2 linked regions of the Canis lupus familiaris genome follow. The protein of the gene in region 2 binds, or shares a complex with, the protein of the main gene of each other region. Links are inferred from orthologs where the notes say so. Each region holds a gene or a part of one and is shown on either strand. Other genes may lie near its edges.

What was found. The genes of interacting proteins can lie anywhere in the genome.
Region 1: the proteins of DLC1 (region 2) and TNS2 are in contact, whole or in part, in an NMR structure (PDB 2LOZ), measured with the Homo sapiens proteins. The link is inferred for Canis lupus familiaris from reciprocal best matches to the Homo sapiens genes DLC1 and TNS2. Residues at the interface, in NP_001335010.1 of Homo sapiens: Glu811, Asp812, His813, Lys814, Pro815, Gly816, Thr817, Phe818, Pro819, Ala821, Leu822, Thr823, Asn824; in NP_736610.2 of Homo sapiens: Asp1268, Leu1269, Leu1270, Arg1271, Gln1272, Gly1273, Ala1274, Ala1275, Cys1276, Lys1317, Ser1319, Ala1320, Gln1321, Thr1324, Leu1387, Asp1388, Pro1389, Asp1390, Gln1391, Val1403, Leu1404, Leu1405, Gly1406.

Annotation. Positions count from the first base shown.
Region 1 is NC_049248.1:44,543,456-44,547,020, reverse strand, and holds part of TNS2 (tensin-2), read right to left. Parts: intron 3,356-3,565; coding exon 3,233-3,355; intron 3,134-3,232; coding exon 3,069-3,133; intron 2,591-3,068; exon of another isoform or gene 2,488-2,590; intron 2,211-2,487; coding exon 2,127-2,210; intron 1,695-2,126; coding exon 1,582-1,694; intron 1,490-1,581; coding exon 1,429-1,489; intron 1,191-1,428; coding exon 1,115-1,190; intron 882-1,114; coding exon 752-881; intron 662-751; coding exon 596-661; intron 500-595; coding exon 386-499; intron 275-385; coding exon 1-274. UniProt on the Homo sapiens protein: Tyrosine-protein phosphatase which regulates cell motility, proliferation and muscle-response to insulin. Phosphatase activity is mediated by binding to phosphatidylinositol-3,4,5-triphosphate (PtdIns(3,4,5)P3) via the SH2 domain.
Region 2 is NC_049237.1:37,354,155-37,357,719, reverse strand, and holds the end of DLC1 (rho GTPase-activating protein 7), read left to right. Parts: intron 1-558; coding exon 559-776; intron 777-1,763; coding exon 1,764-1,937; intron 1,938-2,695; coding exon 2,696-2,816; 3' UTR 2,817-3,046; downstream 3,047-3,565. UniProt on the Homo sapiens protein: Functions as a GTPase-activating protein for the small GTPases RHOA, RHOB, RHOC and CDC42, terminating their downstream signaling.

The DNA.
Region 1 (3,565 bases), on a different chromosome or scaffold from region 2:
TCCCGCCCGGCGCCCCGGCCCGGCCCGGCCACCCCGCAGCCCCCCAGGAGGCGGTCCAGCTCCTGGCGCTCGGCGGCCGTCGGGGGAGGCCGGCCAGGGGACTCGGCGGCCGGCTCGGCGGTCAGCGTGGACGAGTGGCCGGAGTCGCTGCTGACGGAGAGCATGGGGGGCGGAGGTGGCTCCGGGGAGGGTGCCGGCGGGGTCTGGCGGGGGGCCCGCTGCACCTGGGCGTAGGGACTGCCATCCAGAGGTCCCCGGGTGTGGGTGGGGGAGCCTGGCGGGAGAGGACCAGGGAGGGAGTGAATGTCGGGGCCTGCCGGAGGCTCCAGCTCAGGGGCGTCTGCGGCGGGGAGGGAGGGAGTGGGCGGCCGGGCCGGCCCCGCACCGTCCACGCTGTCCTCGTGGTGCTGATTGAAGTGCTCGTAGGAGTCCCAGCGCACGGCGGGCTCTGCGGTGTTGTAGTCAACGGAGACCGAAGGGTCATTCCGTGGGGTGCTGCCTGCGGAAGGGCCACCCAGGTGTTGAGGGCCGGGGTGTCACCTGCAGCCCCGACCTGCAGCCCCGACTTGTAGGCCCGACCGGGGCTGGCTCTCACCTTTGACCTTTTCAGGGCTGGAGGAGAAGACGAACTCCACGGAGGCTTGGAATGGGAACCTCTCATCTGGGAGGGGAGGCGGGGGACACGGTGAGGAGCCAGGTCCCCTGGCCGCCCCCTCCCCGGGCTCCAGCCCCACACCTGTCTCCCACTCACCAGCCCAGGCCTCGTCCAGCTGGTCCTTGGGGAAAGTGAGCCGTGGTCCGTGGATGGTGCACGTGTGGAACTGGACTCGAAACACAAGGGTCCGGTCTGTCCCCCGGCCACCCTTGTGATAGCAGGTCACCTGGATGAGGGAAGGGAGACCGGGGGTCAGGCCTTCCTGTCCGCTGGCGTCCCCTCTGTGCTTCCGTCCTGGGGACTGTCAGGCTGCGGCTCTGCCCTGCCTCAGCTCAAGGCGATGCCCTCGCTGGGGACGGGCTCTCCGCCGGCCAGTGGGCCTCTGGATGACTCACGGGAGACCGTGCAGCTGGCGCGTTCGCCCCCCCATGCACCCCCTCCCCAGGATGGCCCCCTCACCATGACATCGCCCTTGAGGAGGAGGGCCGGCTCCAGGCTGATGCAGAGCTGCTGCGGCCCGGGGCCGGCGATGTGACTGAGGAGGAGAGGGACGGGACAGAGGCTGAATGGGAGGCAGTGGGGCTGGGGTGGCGGCGGGGGTGTGGGGCGTCAGGAGGGAGCCGCGAGCCTGGGGTCTGAGCCCCAGTGAGACGCCTCCAGCTTGCTCAGCATCAGCCTCTCCCTCCTGGTGCACCAGGTGCAGTGGCCGGAGCTGGAGGCGGGGGCGCCTGGGGAGGCTGGAAGGGCAGGAAGGCCGGGAGCAGAGCACTCACTAGATTCCCGAGGTGTAGACCAGCTGCATGGACTGGTAGATCTTGAGGAAGGGCTGGAAGCCTGGAGGGGCAGGCGGGAGAGGGCGCGGAGGGGCGCTCAGCGGAGGGGCTGGAGGACAGGCCTCCCCGCGGGGCGCCTCGGGGCACACTCACCGGTGCCGGGCTCAAAGGCTGGCAGCACGGGCACGAGCACGTAGTGCAGGAAGAGGGGGCTGCTGTTCATTCTGATGGAGCCGGACAGCAGGCCGCTGAAGTAGCTGATGTACCTGCGGGGGTCGGGGGCAGGAGGGGGGGACGTAAGCCTCGCCCCTGGAGGTCCCTCTGTTTCATCTCTACTAAGCACACCCCTGCCCAGCCTTGGAAGGCCGGCCCTTCTCAGCACGCCCCTCCCGTCTCCCGGCTCACTGGAAAGTTCTTCCTCACATCTAACCTCAACCCTCTGCCGTCTCAAAGGTCTGTAGTTGCTGGCTCCCCCGCCTAGCCTGCTCTTCCCCCCAGCCCTCTGCTTCCCATGACGAGGTGGGCTCCGACTGTCCTGCAAGTCTGTCTTTCCCACAAGCTCCGTGAGAGCAGGGACCGTGTTGGGCCTGAGTTCTCAGCGCAGGCCCTGTGTCCCGCGGGTGTGCTGCTCCTACGAGCGACCCTCGGCCTCGGGGCCCGCGCTGCTCCGGTGGCCCAGCCCCACCCCGGCTGCTCACCGGCGCTGGGAGGGCTGCAGCTCCGCGGCCACCTTGTCCTCGCAGAACTTCCTCATGGTAAGCGTGGCCAGCGCCTGGTCTGCCCTGGGGACCGCAGGGCCAAGTGTGGGGGATTAGGGGCTGGTATCTGTCCAGGCCTCCCAACCCCAAGCCCCAGGGGAGGGAGGAGATGTGTGATCCCCTAACTCTAGAGGAAGCCCCGGGGTGGAGGTGGAAAGAACTAGAAGCCCCACATACAGTCACTTGACTACTCGCTGGACCTCAGGCAAGTGTTCCCTGAGTTTTTAGTTTCCTCCTCTGTAAAACGGGGGTGATGAGACCATGTTATGGGTTGAACTGTGTCTCCCCAAAAGATATGTACCTCAGAACGTGACCTTATTTGGAAATAGGGTCGTTGCAGATGGAATTAATTAAGATGTTATACTGGAGTAGGGATGAGCCCTTAATCCACTATGATGGGTGCCCTTAGAAGAAGAGAAGAGACAGACAGACACAGACACACACACAGGAAGAAAGCCACGTGATGACCGCGGCGGAGGCTGGAGGGACGCAGCGGCAAGCCGAGGAGCGCCAAGCACTGCTGGTCACCACCAGAAGCTAGACAGGGGCAAGGAAGGGTCCTGCTCGGGGTCTCAGCGGGAGCGCGGCCCTGCCGGCCTCTCGGTTTTAGACTCCTAGTCTCCAGGGAGACAACTAGTTCCTGTTGTCTTAAGCCACTGAGTCAGTCTGTGACATTTTGTTACAGCAGCTCTGGGAACCTGATACAAATCCTCTGCTGGGAACTGTGGTGAGATACAAGTGAAAAAAGGAGGTGGAAAGGCCAAGTTTATAGGAAACGGCTCTCCAAACACAAAGGGGGGCTTCAAGGGGGATGGGCCCATCACCGGCAGCTGGAGACAGGGTCACTGGGGAAGGGGCCGGTCAGGGGCCAGGGAGCCTCACCCTGCAGAGATCTTGCTGTAGTGCATGTAGGCGGAGACGATGACGCCGAGCTTGCCCTTGCTCCCCTGAGGACAGGGGGAGAGAGAGAGAGAGGGGAATGGAGGGCCAGCCGGCGCCCCAGGCTCAGGGCACCCCAGCCCCGTGAACCCGAGGTCCCAGCCCACCTTGCAGTACAGTACGACCACGTGCTGTGGGTCAGCACTGAGCCACGTCTCCATGGCTTTGCAGATGGAACACAGCTTGTCCAGGGGGGGCGCGTGCAGCTCGGGCCAGCCGAAGTCCTGGACCTGGGCGGGTGTGGGGGTACAACTGAGGGTGGGGGCCGCGACCGGAGAGAGACGGGTGGGGCTGGAAGAGGGAGCGGGTGTAGGGTCAGTCGGGGCCAGGGTCAAGGGGCTCTTGGTCCTCCAGGAGAGCCTCACACTTGCTCGCTGGCACATGGGTTGGTACCTGCTGCGCCATGCTTTGGAGTGTCTCGGGGAGCAAGTCATCCGGGA
Region 2 (3,565 bases):
GACGTCTTTGTGCTTTGCTGATAAAGCTTAGCTTGATAGTATTGCTTGATCCTGTCTTTACCACCTTGAAAAAAAATAAACAGGGCAGCCCTGGTGGCTCAGCAGTTTAGTGCCTGCCTTCAGCCCAGGGTGAGATCCTGGAGACCCACCCCGGATTGAGTCCCATGTCAGGCTCCCTGCATGGAGCCTGCTTCTCCCTCTGCCTGTGTCTCTGCCTCTCTCTGTGTGTCTCTCATGAATAAATAAATAAAACTTTTAAAATAAACAAACAAATAAATAAACAGAGCATCTGGATGGCCATGCAGGCTTTAAGATGCAGATAAATGATCTTCCTTTATTGCATTGACCCTTACATGGGTCCCAAGAAAATAGATGTTCGTAATTTTGACCAGAAAATTGGTCAAAAGGCTGTCTAGCCTGTTCTTGAATATATTTGGGGACACCAGCATATAGGTAATAATTAGCCTCTAAACACATGACCATAAATACAGCTGGCAATTTGCCTTCAAAATATATTTGTGAATTGTCTGGGCACTGAAAAATATATCCTCTTTTCAGGTGAGCGAAGGACCACCTCTGAGGCTTTGGCGGTCGACCATTGAAGTCCCTGCAATGCCTGAGGAAATCCTAAAGCGCCTACTTAAAGAGCAGCACCTCTGGGATGTAGACCTGTTAGATTCAAAAGTGATTGAAATTCTAGACAGCCAAACTGAAATCTACCAGTATGTCCAAAACAGTATGGCGCCCCATCCCGCTCGGGACTACGTTGTTTTGAGGTGAGAGCTTCCAAATGGATTAACAGTAGCAAGGATGAGCCTGCTATCACTGAATGTGCCAAGATAGTAAAATTATGTAAAATAGAAGGTATGCCTCTGACATAATATCGAACCCTTCCAAATAGGGAAAACATATCTCTGTATATTCCAGCAGTGTGTTCATCCCTGAAAATAGTTTGAACGCTTTTGGAATCAAACTCAGAAATAGAAGCACACTTGGGACATCAGAGTGGCTCAGTTTGTTAAGCATCCGGCTTGATTTTGACTCAGGTCATGATCTCCAGGTCAAGAGATCGAGCCCCACCTCAGGCTCTGTGCTCAATGCAGAGCCTGCTTGTTCCTCTTCCTCTGCATTATTCCTGCTCATGCTCTCTTATGCTCTTTCAAATAAATAAATAAAAACTTTTTTAAAGATTTAAGAAAATAAAGAATTAGAGGCACATCCAATTGAATATGCTCGTCGGTAGCAGATTCTTGCCCCTTCTAGGACAGATTTTCTTGCTAGAAACAGCTAGTGAATGCATAAACCAGGAAATAACATTTAAGTCCCAAGTGAGCTGTGGTTAAAGCTGAACTATATGTAATTCATAAATACTCTGGAGACATTATTGAAAGAGGAATTCCAAAAATCTTTGAGGAAATGGCACATCATTAGTCCAGAGCTTTCCAACAGAGCAATACTCAACTGGATGTCTATGTGCTATAATACATTTGTGAAAGGTAAAAATGGTTTTCATTCACCCTTGGTACTAGTTCTCTTTCAAAGAACTGATGTGTGAATATATCCCCACTCTAATGGCTCTGGATGGAGTTGCTTGTCATTCAAGAGCCCTTGGACAATAGTTCAGAAGATGCCATCTATCCAGGACTGGGTCACACAGGAGAGGAACTCATCCTGCCCCTCAGCTGTCTCTTCTGACAGCAGGACCCATTTGAAACTTGGCTTCCAGGAAATTCCATCCTTTGCCTCTGGTTTTGTTTCTACAGAACATGGAGGACTAATTTACCAAAGGGGGCATGTGCCCTTTTACTCACCTCTGTGGATCACGACCGGGCACCTGTGGTGGGGGTGAGAGTCAATGTGCTCCTCTCCAGGTATCTGATCGAACCCTGTGGATCAGGGAAATCTAAACTCACCTACATGTGCAGAGCTGACTTAAGGTAGGTTCTGATTCTGATTTTTTGCCGTGGTGAGGGGTCATGAAGAAGATGAGACTTTTTGTCTGATACAGAGAATGGCCTAAATGAACACATCATTGTATCTTGTCTGCTCTCTAAAGAGCAGTCTTTATAAAGGAACACCTTCATGTTTCTTGGTACTGTGGAAATTGCTTCCTAATTCTGATCCCTTAGAGAAAGTGGCACTAAAGCAATATGAATGTACTGCTCCTGCCGTGAGTTCATAGCCATAGGAAATGAGAGTTTGAGCTAGCCAAGTGGACGATTCACATTTTATAGTCAAAGGTATTTGAATATATAACATGCCCTTTTAGTAATTAATCAGGCCTGCACCCTGTGTCATTGATGAATGTGGGTTCATATCAGAAAACTCATGAAATTCAGTAGTATAGACAAAAACACGAACCTCTTCAAACTTTCCAAAGTGATTACATTCTCATTTGAAATCTTGGCATCTGGGTACATTTTCAACTCTCTATGTGATCTATCTTTGTTCTCTATGCTAAAGCTTTCCCTGAACAATGCACTCAAAATCTGAACTCAGTACAGTTTCCTTGAGAAACTTCGCATTCCAGACATATAATGGATGTGCCACGAGGTTACCTGGGAATAATTGGAGTAATAGTCTTTACTTCCATGGCTTCTGGATCAAGAAATGAAAGTGTCTTCAGAACCCTCTCCGGCTTATTGCAGTGCTTTCCAATCTAAAGAACCCCTCCTGCTTTTCCTTTCCATTGTAGGGGCCACATGCCAGAGTGGTACACAAAATCTTTCGGACATCTGTGTGCAGCTGAAGTTGTGAAGATCCGAGACTCTTTCAGCAATCAGAACACCGAAACCAAAGACACCAAATCTAGGTGATTCCTGAAGCTAAGCGGCCACATCTGCCATCTGGATGTTTGTTTCTGGAAGCCCATGCCGGTCCTTGAAAGAGTGGATTCTGAGTCTAGTCCTGAAACAAAGAAAACTAATTTAGAGTGTGGGGATCAACTAGCAATTGAAGACGTTTTTAAAGCTGCTTCCTGTTTGTTGAAGGTCTAGATTTTAGGCCTTGACTGGAATATATAAGACTGTGCACGAAAAAAAAAAAAAAAAAAGTATTCTTATTCAAATTGCTTCTGAGAAGCAAAGCTATAAATACATTACAGAAAATAATGAAGATACTTCATTCTCTTGTGATACTGGTGTATGTGTACCTATGTCATTTTATTTGCAGCGTGTTGAGGGACTGTGTATCCACTGGAATAGTTGGTACTCTTTGACCTGTTTCTCACTGAGATGAGCAAAGAAAGGTTTGCACAGAGGAGTGTGTGTATGTGTGTTTGTTGCTGGTTGAATGGCATAGTTGTATAAGTTGGAACGCAGTGTCTGGCACACTGAGACGCCTCCAAGAAGGATTTTGATGTGTCAGGTTCAGTTTAACCTGGGATATCTGACTGCCCATGGACCCATCCAGAAAGGGGACCCAACATCCTTGTTCACTTATTTTTTTCCAAGTTATTAAGCACATTCCTTTTTCTTTTTAAACCAACCTCCTCTTTCCTTAAAAGTAATTGTAGTAGGTTGATTCCAACCCCTTCTCAAACACAGCATGTCGTTAGACCGGGTTG